2 linked regions of the Notamacropus eugenii genome follow. The protein of the gene in region 1 interacts with the protein of each later gene in a pairwise test. Links are inferred from orthologs where the notes say so. Each region holds a gene or a part of one and is shown in the gene's direction. Other genes may lie near its edges.

Region 1 (7,176 bases):
TTCTTCTCCACAGAACTAGCCCTCCCAGGAATGGGGCTGCTAGGTGGTGCAGTGGATAGAGTACTAGTGCAGGAGTTCTATCTCACCTCAGACACTTGACACTCACTAGGTGTGTGAACTTGGGCCAGTCACTTACCCCCAATTGCCTCATCCTGGGTCATCTCCAGTCATCCTGATGAATATCTGGTCACTGTTTTCAGATGGCTCTGGAGGAGAAGTGAGGTTGGTGACCTGAACAACCCTTCCTCACTCAGAACAAAGTCAAGTACAAGTCATATCATTATTTCTCTGATAGCATGGTCTTCTTTGGCAACAAAGGACAAACACACATACCTCCCTCCCAATATTTTCATCTTTCTAATCCTTCCTTGATCATTGATTGAGGAACCATTTCTCCAGATCTTCCTCATTCTCTGAATCAGCTTGGGGCTCCAAATTCAGAGATCTGTCAGAATCAGTGGCTAATTACTTACTTTCTGTTGCTCTCATTTTAACTGGACACCCTGGTCTGTCTGCCCTCCCACTTCTTTTTCTTATTACCACTCCCTTTCTCTACTAAACACAGGAGTGCATTTTCTAGATTTTTTTAAAATAAGGGTAAATAAGACATACAAATTCAGAAATAACATATATGAAGGAATTAGAAATTAGAGTAAAAAGAAAACTTTTTAGTACCAGACTGGATAGGATGGAACTTATACACTATTCTCCCTCTAGATTTCTTCAAGCCTTTTTTGGCCTTTAGTAATTTCTTCTAGGCTACAGAATCTAAAGATCCCTTTCCCATTAGTCCCAAAATGAAAATGTTCTGACTCCAAACAATCCCATGGATTTAGTTATTTATCCATCTGAAGAACACTGGCCTTTTCTATTTGTATCCTTAGTGGCAAAGAAAACTTCAGCCTTCTGACTGAAAGGTAGATTTTGAAAAATGTAATCCCTAATCCAACTTGATTCCTTCATCCTCTCAACCAAGGGAAGATGAGAAAATGGAATTTGCACATTATCCACTTAAAAATCCCAATAATTTAGTCTGACACAGGTTACTCTCAAAGTTAAAAAAAATATCCATTTTTTTATTAAAGGATAGAAGAAAAATTTTTCAGAAAAAATAAGCAGGCTTTGGTTGCCTCCCAGATAAGGATGACAGGAACCACTGCTAATAAACAGGGATAAAGGGCAAAAGCCCACATCTCCACATCTACTCCCCATCCCCCAAACATTGCTAAATAACTCCTTGAGGTTTATTGGAATTTCAAGATAATCTGTATGGCCCAAGCACTAACTTTCATTTCTATGATGGGAGTTGAAATGAATTCATTTATCCTAAACCAAGTGAAGGATAGAGGGGTTTTCTTTGGTGGAGTGGGAGTGGCATGGAGTGAAGGGAAAAAAGATATTGACAGTTGCTTGAGTGTCAACCAGGTATGGTCACTATGTTTAACAAGAGCTAAGTGTGTTTATTAGCCCCTCAGCACTTTGATTAGGAGTAGTCTCACCAAAGAGCTAAAACATTCCTTGTATTGAAGAAGATATTGGGTGCTTCAACTGCACAGAATCCCTTCTTAAATAATATCATAAGTTGTCTGAGGAATTTTCTCATCAGTGCAAGAGTCTGTGGGAATATTCTTTTGTGTAAGAGCATTGAAAAATTATTCAACTGCATGAGTTTCCTTTATTATTTACATTGCTATTACTACCTATTAAAATAGTTTGCTATTTAATGAATGACTCTAGCTCGGTAGATAAGGCACTGGATTGAAGTTTGAACCCTATTTTCACTTGTGATTACACAAAATACTCTATACACTTGGAACTGGGGGAATCAAATTCCAGAGTAGAGTGGGACTTTTAAATACTGAAATAGATACGTAGTTGGCAGGCCAGAGCTGAAAAGGCTGGTCAAGTGGCTCCGGTCTGAGATTAGGATGAAATGTGGCATTTTGTAGTCCATCTGACAGATATTTCAAGAGCAGGAGAAGGATATTTAGGGAAGATGTAATGTTGATTCAGCTGAGCATAACTTTCCTAAACCAAGTTGGTCAAGCTGGTCCAAGGTCAGAACAGAGGGAGGGGTTGAAGCTCCTACATCTGGCCCTTTTTGTTCTTAGGCAACCAGGAAGCTACTGAAAGTGTCCTGAGCCTTAGTCCCAGAGCCAATTAAGTCTCCAGGACAGTTTTCAGTGCCTTTTAAGGAAAAGAACTTTGCCCCCCCACCCCCACCCCCACCCCCACCCCTTCCTGCTTCAGCTCACATGGGGAGAAGGCAAAGGGTATCTTTGTTGGATATAAGAAGCATAAGGGACTGAAAAGTATTGAGTCAAAAGATTTGGAGCCTGGAAGAATTGAGATTACCCCAGATCAAGAGGGGTATTTGGGAGGGGGGAATCACTTTTGGAGGAAATCCCAGTAAATCTCCTAGCACTTTAAATTCCTATGCACTTATTTCCTATTTTGCATTTTACCTATCTGTGCACAGATCTAAACCCCTCTAAAAGACTAAGTTCCTCGAGGGTAGGACAAAGTGTTAATCATCTCATCTCCATTTCTTACCGCAGTGCCACAGGATAGAAGGGATTCCTAAAGGTAATTCAGTTCACTATTCATGAAGAGCCTACTGTGTGCCAGGCACTGCACTAAACCCTGGGGGAGCAAAAGCTTTTTTTTCCGGAAAACTTTGAAAAGTTGCTGCCCTCAAGGGCTGTATTTGCAGAAGGAAAGAATGTAATCTCAGCCAGTCCTTATTTTTAGACACTCCCCAGGGTGGCTGATCTGTTGGCCAGCCTGGCCCCGGCCTTTCGCTCCTTCCTTTCCAGCAGCATCACGTTACTGCCTCCTCATTGTCCCTGAACATCCTGTTCTTTCTTCTCTCCCTTTGACTCGCCCCGGCCCTCCAGCACGGACTGGCTCGCTCCGGCCAGCAGGGGCTCTTTTTTTGTCTGGGGAAAGGGACGAAGGCTGCACCTGTGACTTCATTGTTGTGGGGAACTCCCGGTGAGGAAACTTCCTCTGCCAATTCTGACAGTCAGAGAATTGCCCCACAAAGTATTTAGGTGGTTTCCCCCGACCGCAGGGCTAGTGACTAGAAGACCTATGTCCTTGCCTTCGGGGCTTTTACACCCCTCTGCCTCTCATTTGATGATTTAATTCCACCATTTAAATTACGGATTGCTTTAAAATGCATTTTAACAAGCGCATTTCGTGTATGTGTGTGTTCTACACGCCTTTAATGTCTCAGCGAACAGGAAGCAAGCGTGCGCTGGACGGACGGACATCCAGCCAGTGCCGGCACTTAGAGGCTACATACGTCCCGACTCCGCTCCCACTAATGTCCCCCCCCCCCCCCCAACGCTATGAAAGGTTTAAAGCCCCAAGGATGAAGGAGCACCGCAGCGGCCGCTCCGCCGGCGCACGCGCACGAAGCGGACACCTCGACCTGACTCCTTCCACCTTTTCCCCGGCTCCCTTCCCTCGCATCTACGAGTCTGCGCAGCTGGGCAGACAAAAGAGAAATTGGGGGAGGAGGGAAAGTGGGAGAAAGTGACATAAGCAGCCGCTGCGCCCTTCGACACGCCCTTGGAAGGGGTGGTCCCTTCTGCGCAAGCGTAGCTGTGTGCGTGCGTGCGTGCGTGCGGTGTGTTGTATTAGGGGTTAGGGTTAGGGTTAAAGGCTCCAGCTCGGGTGCGCGCGCTAACCACTCACGGTCACGCGCTCCTCGACGCCTGCGCCGTGTTTTTTCTCCTGTCTCTGGGCGCGGGGCGGGAGGGTGCCGAGCGCGCCTGCGCAGTAGGTAGTAGCGCCGGCGGCGGCGGCGGTGGCGGCGGCGGTAGGGGGAGGGAAGGAAGGGGGGAGGGAGGTGGAGGAGAAGGAGGAGGAGGAGGAGGAGGAGGAGGAGGAGGCGGAGGCGGAGGCGGCGGCGGCGGCGGCGGCAGCGGCGGAGGTGGTGGTGGCGGCGGCTTCCCGGGATTGAGGCAGTGGCTGAGGAGACGGCGGCGGCGGCCATTTCCCTCACAGTGGCGGAGACCGAGGCGGCGGCGGACGGGGAGCGGCCCGGCCCCGGCCCCCTGCTCGTCGGCTGTGGCGGGGCCGGTGTGGGGCCTGCCCGGCTCCCGCCCCCTGCGGCGTCCCCGCCAGCTCCTCCTCCTCCCCCGGGGGGGCGACGCAGGGGGCCCGGCCCGGCCCGAGCTCAGGCCGCCGCCGCCGGAGGAGGAGCAGGAGGAGCAGTCGCCGCCGCAGCAGCAGCAGCAGCCGCCGCAGGCGGCGGCCCCTCCATGGGCGGCCTAGCTGTCGGGAGGGACATGGAGCCGGGGCTGCCGGTCGAGGTGCGTGGCTCCAACGGGGCCTTCTACAAGGTGAGGCGGCGCGCCGGCCGGGGACACCTGCCCGCCTGCGGGCCGGGGAAGCGCGGGGCTGTCGGGACTCCTCCTCGGCCACCCCCCGACCCACCTCCAGGAGACACTCCCTGGGCCTGTCCCCGTCCCTTCCCCCCGTGGCTGCTCCAGGCCCCTCGCCTGCTTCTTCCCTCCTTCCCGGGGCAGGGACCTCAGCGCAGGAACACCCTTGCTGCTCATTGCACCGCTGACCTTCCCTTCTGTAGTCACCTAGGGCTGCTGAGACTTGAATTGTGTCTTTGTGTAACCCACCCCCACCCCCATCTTCGGTCCATTATCTCAGGCAGAGCCCCTCCCACTTCGTATTCCCCAACTGAGGGAGAAAAAAGCTGAACCCCAGCTCTAACAGCTGTAGCACCCCCTGACCTCTAGGAAGTCTGTGCTCTGCCATTCATTTTGCTTTCTCATTCGTCGATGGCTTCATTATACAAGTCCTCTACCTCCATACCTCTACTTTCCACGCAAGACCTACCTAGAATATTGCTTGATCCGGGTAAGGACCAGTACATGTATGCACTTTTACATTACCGATGTCATTCCCCAAACGGAGCCTGTGTTCTCCTCCAAGAGGACCTCAAGTGGACCCCTCTCCTAGGAGTGGATACATCCCCTGTTATTTTTCCCTAAAGCATTTCTGTTTCTAGAATGTTCCCTAGTAACTTTCCCTATTTGGGCATTCTCCTACAGCTCTTTTTTTAGGAGTCCCTTTGGAGGACCCTTTTCTGTCCCCAAGCTCCCCTCTGAAGGCATTTCTGCAGAGGTTCCCTCCCTTTATCCACACCCTTTTCTACCCACCCCTAATTTGGTTTCTGGGGTATCCTTTCATAGGTAAAATAACTGAAGTTGAAGACTCACTGCTTCCCAAAGATTTTCTTCTCCTTAATTCTCTAATATGGGGGGGCTGGGAGGGGACATCCTTGTAACTTATACCCTGCCAACGTTTTTGTTCTACCTCCCAGGCCTGAGTTTGAACATATATTGTAGCCTATCCTACATCTGGAAGAACTAGAATGTAAGTTCCTTGAGGGCAGATTGTCATTTTTGTCTTTATCCAGTTCCTAGCAAATAGTTACTTAATAAATGTTTGTTGATATTTCTCCTCTATCACCACATGTGGGGAGAGATTCTGCCCTCCCTTCCCCCTTGTCCTTTACCCAACAGACCCTTATGCCTCTGAGCCATTCTGCTCCCTTTATTCCCCAAAGCATATTTCGCATTATGACTAAAAAGGATTTGGTGTTTGCCATGGTGTGTACTCGCATTTCTCTCATCAGAGAGTTTTCATCTCTGGTAACCTGGGTCTCAGCTCACTCCCTAATCTAAGTAGTTAACTATGTAAACTTCGCCTAACCAATCTGAATCCTTATTTCCAGAAAACTTCCTTAAATCTTTCTTCAGCAAAAAGAGGTTCCTTAGCTGATTCTTTGTCATTTCTTTCCTAAATCCTGGGCTTCCCTTTCAATTCTGGACCATGTGATAACACAGAGTCTTCATAATAGCACCTCAGAGTAGACTCTTGTTTCCTCTTGAACTCACCCCTTAAGCAGCATTCCTATTTGACCTGGCAGAAATTCCTCCATTCCTGATTCCCTTCTGTGTCTGGTAGCATATGCTTGTTCTTAACCTCTTTTCCCTTTATGTTTCCTTGTTTCTTCGTTGAAATGTGCTTCCAGATACCTACTTCATCATGTGGGCCCCTTGCCCTCCTTTTGTATTGTATTCTCTCTAAATCCCCAATCATAAATTCTTCAGGTTCTAGGAGAAAGGATTTGAGATTAGGTCAGAGGTAGTCTATAAAATGTTACATTTAGTCTTCTCTCATTCCTTTGTTACCTGGTATCTAGGGACAGCTTCTAGACAAGATTGGTCTCTAGTAAGAATCATCTAGATGAGAGAAAAGAGGGTTCTCCCCCCCCACTTCACTCCACCCCTTTACATATACACAGGTAGCTGAAACTTCTTTTAAAACCTCAGCTTCTCCAATATTTTGTAAGATCTTTCTCCTCAGCCAGTGTGGATGTGGTGAGGATTTGATTTGAGGTGAGGATGCTTTGGACTTGGAAAGTAGCAGTTTGTTGGGAAACAGGTCATATGGATTTCTGTACTCTTTGACATTTATTTAAATCTCATTTCCCCCATTTTGAAGACTAGAATACCTCAACAATCTATTTACTTGTCTCTCTCAATGCCAGCGTGTTTTTTTTCCCATTACCATTCTCTGTTGAACTCCTTACCCTTTTGTATTTGAATACTTTGCTACTCTGTTTTTAGAACCAGTTTTCATGACTCAGCAGATCAGGGTAGTTAGTAAGGAGGGGCCATGTTGTTTGAGAATTATATCCCCTGACAAGGTTTCTTTCCCTCTCTTCTGGATATGGGAATCCCATTGTATATCCTTTTCTATCTAAGAGACACCCCTTAACAGGATCTTAGTCACTGTAGCTCTAACTCTCCAGCTTTCCTCCAAGAACTTACGTATTTTCCCACTTCAGTCTTAGGCTATTTCAAATTCCATCTCCAGTCCGCTTCTAAGACAGAAACATAGTACCTGATCTGCACCAGAGCTTTTTCCCAGTTGATTCTCCACTCTTTAGACAGCCTGGCTCCTCCCTGACAGCTCCCCAGAGCTCATCATATTGATTCCACACTTAGTTCAGAAACTGATCAGCAGAGTCCACTGCGGCTTTGAGCTCCCTAGCTCAAGAGGTTCACCAACCTCAGCTTCCCTGATAGGAAGGATTTTGTGCCACCATGCTTCCCCATATTATTCGGAAGGACCAGACCA
Region 2 (7,294 bases), on another chromosome or scaffold:
TTAATTTGTGTGAAGTGTTTTGTAATTGTGTTCAAATAGTCCCTGGGTATGTCTTGGCAAGTAGACTCCAAAGTATTTTATATTGTATGCAGTTATTTTAAATGGAATTTCTCTTTCTACTGAGTTTGGTTGGTAACACATGGAATTGTTAATGATTTGTGAGGGTTTATTTTTAATCCTATAACTTTGCTAAAGTTTTTAATTGTTTCAACTGCTTTTTTTTTAGTTTATCCTCTTAGATTCCATAAGTATATCATCAAGAGTTTTATTTCTCCATTGTTTATTCTTATTCCTTCAATTTATTTTTCTCATTTTATTGCTACAACTAGGATTTCTAGTACAATATTGAATAATGATGGTGATTATGGACTTCCTTTACTTCACCCTCAATCTTACTAGAGAGGCTGCTAGTTTATCTCCATTACAGGTAATGCTTTTTTTGGATTTAGATGAATACTACCTATCATTCTAAGGAAAGCTCCATTTTTTTCCCTATGCTTTTTAGTGGTTTTGATAGGAAGGAGGAGTTGTATTTTGTCAAAAACTTTTTCTGCATCTAGTGAGGCAATCATGTGGTTTTTGTATATTGTTACTGATATGATCAATGTTTATCATTTTGTTAATATTGAACTAGCCCTATAGTCCTGGCATAAATCCATTCTGACCATAGTATGTGATCTTTCTGATATATTGCTATAGTCTTTTGTTTAAAACTTTGCATCACTATGTATTAGGGAAATTGTCCCTAGTTTTCTTTATTTTTTGCTCTTCTTGGTTTAAGTATGAAATCCATATTTGTATAATAGAAGGAATTTGGTAGGACTCTTTTTTTTTACCATCTTTTTTCAAGTAACATGGTATTGAATTAATTTTTTTAAAGTGTTTGGTAGAATTCACCTGTGAGTCCTAAGAATTTTTTCTTATGGAATTCATTCATGACTTGTTAGATTTATTTTCTATGATATGAGTTATTTTAATATTCTATAGACTCTTAGATTAATCTGAGAAATGCATATTTTATACAACTTCTACCCATTCCATTTAGATTGTCAGTTTAATTGTTATATGACTAGTAGCTCCTAATAAGTGTTTTAGTCACCTTCATTGGTTTTATAACCACTCTTTTCATTTTAGAAGCTAATTTGATTTCTTCTTTTTTATCAAATTAGGCAATGGTTTATCTATTTTATTGTTTTTTTCATAAAGCCAGCTCCTAATTTTATTAATTAGTTCAATTTTGTTACTTTATTAATCACTCCTCTGTTTTTTTTTAAATTTCTATATTTGTATTTAATTGGGGATTTTTAATTTGTTCTTTTTCTATTTTTTTAGTTGCATGCCTAATTCCTTGAACTGATTCTTCTCTCTTTTATTCAGGTAAGCATTTAAACATGAAAATTTCAACTAAATACTATTTGACTGCATCACACACATTTTGGTATGTTGTCTCATCATTGTCATTCTCTTTAATGAATTCATAGATTCTTCCTATAAATTTGATCTTTGATCCACTCATCCTTTAGGATTAGATATTTGATTGCCAGCTAATTTTTAATTTCTACTTCCAAGGTCCTTTGTTGAATGTAATTTTCTTGCATCATAAAATGAATAGGGTAGCACTTAGCATTTTTGCTTTTCTGCATGTGTTTGTGATGCTGTTATGCCCTCATAGATGGTTAATTTTGTGAAGATGCCATGAACAGCAGTCTATCATACCTAAACTTTTATAAAATTTTATTCATATCCTTACTTTAGTTTGTGCTTATATTTTTCAGAGAGGTAAACAGAGGTCCCCATTATGTAATTTTACTCTCAATTTCCTCCTGTAACTCATTTAACTTTTCCTTTATGATTATGGATGCTATGCCATTTGGTTCATATATATTTAGCTATGGTAACTTTTAGTAAAATGTAGCTTCCCTTATTGTCTATTTTAATTGTCTGTTATTGCTTGTTTTGTCTGAGTTTGTCATGATACCCCTGCTTTTTTCACTTCTGCTGAAGCATAAAAGATTCTGCTCCAGCCCTTATATTTAAATTCTATAGGTCTTTTTTTTGAAGTGTGTCTTTTGTAAACAATATACTATTGGTTTCTGGTTTCTAATCCATTCTACTATCCATTTGCATTTTATGAATAGTTCATCCCATTGACATTCATAGTTATGATTGTTCACTGTGTATATTGCTCCATCCTTTTTTCTATTTTTACTTTTTTTAACCCTAGCCCTTCTCAAAAGTCATTTTTGTTTCTGACCAATGACTCCTTTAATTTACCCTCCTCTTCACTTTCTCTCCCCTCTTTTCTCATCGTCTTTCTTCCTACTTCCCTTTTGGGTAATATGGATTTCTATACCCAACTGATTTTGTGTGTGTGTGTGTGTGTGTGTGTGTGTGTGTGTGTGTATGTGTGCATGTGCATGTGTATTCTTTCCTCTTTGAAATAGTTCAAATGAAAGTGAGGTCTAATCTACACCCCACTCCATTTCTACTTCTATTGCAAAAGAATTCTTCCATGTGCACTTCTTTTATGTGAGACCATTTTTTCACATTCTTCTGCTTTCCCCTTTCTCTTATTTCTTTTGAGAAATTTCAATATAAAAGACTCACACCCACTATCTAAGTAATCTAAGTAAACTCCTTCTAATTACCCTAATGATGATAAAGTTCTTAGGAGTAATGTGTATCATCTTCCTATTTAGGAATGTAAACAGTCTAACTTTCTTAAGTTCTTCATGATTTCTCACTTGTGTTTACTTTTTTATGCCTCTCTTGAGTCTTGTGTTTGAATGTCAAATTCAAATGTCAAATGTCAAATTTCAATGTAGCTCTGGTCTTTTCATCAGGAATAACTAAAAGTATCCTATTAAATGTCCACGTTTTCCCCTTGAAGTTGTAGTCAGTTTTGCTGGATAGGATATTTTCATTGTAATCCTAGCTCCTTTGCCTTCTACAATATCATAGCTCAAGCTTTCTACTCCTTTATAGTGGTAATCTAACTGTGGATCCATGGTATTTGAATTGTTTCTTTCTGGTTGCTTTCAGTATTTTCTCCTTCATCCCAGAGTTTTCAAATTTGACTATAATAATTATGGGATTGTTTTATTTAGGGATCTCTTTAAGGAAGCGATTAGTGAATTCTTTTGATTGCTAGTTTGTCCTCTGGTTGCAAGATATCTGGACAGTTTTCCTTGATAATTTCTTGAAATATGATGTCTTGGCTCTTTATTTTTTTTTTTTTTATCATTGCTATCCAATGGCTATTCATGGTTAATTCAATAATTCTTAAGTGGTCAGAAAGAACCGTTTGATTTTTGTTTTACAGACTTTTCCAGAAATTTCTCTTCCTCAGTCTTTGAGCAAAGCAGGGAAAGGGATTACTTTCCCTCCCCTTTTTAGTGCTGGTGTCCTTGCTAAGAGACACACCTTAGCTTACATTTACTATCCAATATGATTCCTAAATTTTCATTTCTCCAAGCCAGACCATAACCTGGTTATTTTATGGATACTTACAAAAACTGTTCTAATGTTCTGGATTTGCCAGTTTTCATCTCAAGTTTCTCTCACATCCCAAAATAAATGAGTGAATGGAGAAAAGGTACAGAAGCAATCTAGGCCCAAGATGCAAGGTCACTGATTGTGTTAAAAGACGGCAAAACTACCATCCCTTTCCTATATAAATGATACTCAAAATCTGAAAAGGGCAAAATGTGAAAAGTGCCCCATATTCTAACATACTCCCCTCAGGGCAAAATGTGCAGTCCCTGCAAATTACTTGGAGTACACCAGAGCATCTGTGGCCAGAAGAGGATGCCCAGAAGAATTCCAAGGGAAAGTACAAGCTGTTACTCCCCCTGACTCCGTAGCCAATCATCTTCAAGATTCTCCTCCTCTGACCAATCAGGAATTGCTGTCCCTTAAGGAAGAGGCCAGTGCATATGTCGCAGAAAAAGGGAACCGAGTGTATCTCCACCTCCCATCAACAAGTTGCATCACTTGCCACGTAAAAACATGAGCCAATTCAGTCCGAATGTTTTAGTAAACTAAGACAAAAACAATACCCCATAACTTTTAACACGTAAGATACCACAAAAGGTACTACAGTTTAGACTTCTGCCTCTCACAGTCCAAGCACAGAATGACTGCAAGGAAGAAGACTGGGCAGGAGTGGGCTGGAAAAGCTGCTTCTTCCAATCACCTGATTGGTCCTCCTGTTTGCCAGTCAGATGGAAAGGGGTGGAGCCCCAGAACACCGCGCTTAATGTAAGGACCGCTTCTGATGACGTCATTATAACGCGACGCAAACTGAAGCGCGAAAGGGGGCGGGGCTCAACAGGAACCTCCGCAGCAGTTGGGGAGGTGTCATGGCTGCTCCTGTGGGGCTATCGGGGCACCCCCGAGGCGTTGACAAGAACCCGGATCAGAGCTTCAGCTTCTACCGCGAGGTGCTCGTTGGTTTCCTCCACTCCCTTCGCACCCTGACAGGGCAGGTAAATGACGGCGGTCTCTCTCTCTCTCTCTCTCTCTCTCTCTCTCTCTCTCTCTCTTTCTCCCTCTCTCCCTCTCTCCCTCTCTCCCTCTCTCCCTCTCCTCCCCCTCTCCTCTTTCCCTCCCTTCTCTCTTCTCCCTTTCTCCTCTCCTTTAACCAGAAATGGGGGTTGACCGAGGCTCAGAGCTTGGGGGCGCTTTGGGGATTCCCGCCCCAACTACAAGACCATTAGGGTTCCACCGGGACTTCTCTGCTGCTACAAACCTGCTCAGATTTCTCTTAACACTCATTTGAGGGGTGACTTAGGGGGATTCCCCTTTCTTCTCCCCCCACCCCCCCAAAAAAAGAGAAAAAGAAAGGCAGCGAGCGAAGAAGTGGGCAAGAGAACCAGGCCTGGAGAGGAGGAAGGCGGCTAAGCCCCCTCGGTGGGGCCGGCCGGAGCGGGGAGCTCAGGATCGGGCGTCTGAGGTGGAAGAAGCTTCGCTTAAGCCTCTGTGAGGAGAAGGAACCCGGAGGCAGCAGAAGCCTCCTCTCTGGGGAAAGGTTGTTCCCCCGCTATTTTTGTGATTTGATATAATGAATACTACTTTTGTTTACGTTTTTTTTTGCCTAGGGAGTCATACAGCGTTTATTAAAAAAAATAATAACTTATTTACTCATCTTGAGACTAGGATACTTTTGATGCCTCTTGGGTGTAGTTAAGACGAATTGGGTAATGGAAGACCACTTAGTCGCGGTGTTTGGCAATCATTTTTACTTAAAAATGCAGAATTAAAAGCCGGTTATTTATTTACATTTTTAAAACTCATGTTTAAAAGAAAAAAATTAAGCACTTCTTGTAACCATCTGTTCAATTCCTACTAGGAGATCTTGGCGTATTTAAATTATAATTATATGACCTAAATAGAAATTGGACATCAGTCTTTTTTTTTGGTTAGTGACCTTTCATTAGCATAGAAAACATTTTAGCTGTTAAAAACAAATAGAAGTCTCCCAAGTACTGGACCCGATAACAGTTGCCTTAATAATCAGTGTGATAAACTAAGTTCATAAAATAATCCAAGCTTCCGATTTGTGATGGTAGCTTTGTTCTTCTGATTATTTTTGCAAAGTGTGTTTGTGTGGGGTAAGAAAAAAATTCACTTTTCTTTTTATCCATCCAGAGTTTGTGATATTCAGCCAAATTTCGAGCAGTTATTTGTGGAAATCATTAAGCAGCATGCGTAGTCAGACTGTTTTTTTCAAGTACTTGATAATTATACTTTTTAAGTTTTTGAAACGATATGACTTAAAAAAGAATTTTATTTTAAACGTTAACATTTTAGGCCTTAGCCATTCTAACTTCTTTTAAACAAAAGATAAAAACAAAGCAGTTAGAGCGTAATATTGTGAATTAAGATGGGTTATTATAAATATGAAATTACACAAAATTCTGTTATTTGCAAATGAGATAATTTTTTCGTATGATAGGTGGAATTTTAAAAGAAAGTTCATGCAGTAAATTATATGAAAGTTAGTGCAGTGAATTATGTAAAAGTTTTCACATTCCAGAGATATTTTCGAAAGCATATTTCCTGCAGATTATATTTTTATGTGTTTTCCAGAATCTCGGTTCCTGTATTGTCCCTTGAGTAAAATTTACATATTATACGTCACTGTCAAATGTGTAAATATTATTACTTGTATCTGACACGAAGAAGATGATATCAATCAAAAATTAGGTCAGTTAGATGGTTAATCAAAATATACTGACCACATTGATAATTGTCTGTGTTTTTGAGTTATTATTTAGAGATTTGAATAAAAGCAAAAGTACTTATAGTATCACTTTAGGTCATTATTTGCTTTTGCAAGAAGCTAAATCATAAAATTTGCATGGTCATCTTTGCTTAAGGTTAGTGTTTATGATGTTCCTAATTACTGGTATTGTTTGTTAGGGAACACAGTTTTAAATGTGTTAATGTACATGCTAACTCAAGTCGTGAATATTCTTAATTTTTAACTTTATAGTTTGTACCCATTAGCCCTTTGACTATTTTTCGTTTGTTTTGAACTTGAATATTTTAGTGCTTTTATTAATTTCTCTGCAGTGGCAAAAAAAAAGGGGGGGTCCTATCAATGAAAGGCTAATAAAGGTTTTGGAGTCAGTCAATTCTTACATTTTCTATAGTACCAAATGTTTAAATTAATCTTGTTAATTAAGGTTACAGTGAATAGTCATTTTTTTTTAGTTGAAATTAAAATTACCCTTGTATTTGAGTGAAGGATTACATGGGGTTTTTTTAGATTCTTTTTTTAAAAATGAAAACAATTACATTGAATTGAAATCTTAATGCTTTTATAATAAAATTAATATAACCTTCATTCTCTACAAAAATTTATTGTTTGGACTTCATGGATTCATTACCAAGTAAGGTGCTTATATTTACTGTAATCAGATTTTTTGGTAAGATGTACAAATACATCAATTCAGTGAATATATTAAAGGTTTGTTATCTGAAATCTCTTTATATGACATTTTAGAAAATACACATTGAGATTAATTCACACGTCATTGCCTCATATTTCTTTCTATATCTCTGGAATAGACTTTTAAAAGTTAGAACCACAATCTAAATAACTAGTGTCTTTTATATCATGATGTTCTTCCATTTGTAGCAGAACCATTTTGAATTGTTTTGCAGTGGGTTTTTTTTTTTACATTTTATCTCCTGCATATAAACTTATGAAGGATTTATTATATTGTCTTTTATAAAAATTAATTTGTTGCATAAGTAATAATCCAAACCAGTTACATTTTTTAAAATT

The links. The genes of interacting proteins can lie anywhere in the genome.
Region 2: the proteins of FXR2 (region 1) and MBIP interact in binary tests that used the Homo sapiens proteins (3 or more experiments, as listed by UniProt). The two-hybrid records come from large-scale screens. The link is inferred for Notamacropus eugenii from reciprocal best matches to the Homo sapiens genes FXR2 and MBIP.

The regions. Positions count from the first base shown.
Region 1 is NC_092873.1:78,374,501-78,381,676, forward strand, and holds the start of FXR2 (RNA-binding protein FXR2), read left to right. Parts: upstream 1-4,170; 5' UTR 4,171-4,271; coding exon 4,272-4,352; intron 4,353-4,794; exon of another isoform or gene 4,795-4,884; intron 4,885-5,350; exon of another isoform or gene 5,351-5,403; intron 5,404-7,176. UniProt on the Homo sapiens protein: mRNA-binding protein that acts as a regulator of mRNAs translation and/or stability, and which is required for adult hippocampal neurogenesis. Specifically binds to AU-rich elements (AREs) in the 3'-UTR of target mRNAs.
Region 2 is NC_092872.1:329,005,462-329,012,755, reverse strand, and holds the start of MBIP (MAP3K12-binding inhibitory protein 1), read left to right. Parts: upstream 1-4,290; 5' UTR 4,291-4,361; coding exon 4,362-4,487; intron 4,488-7,294. UniProt on the Homo sapiens protein: Inhibits the MAP3K12 activity to induce the activation of the JNK/SAPK pathway. Component of the ATAC complex, a complex with histone acetyltransferase activity on histones H3 and H4.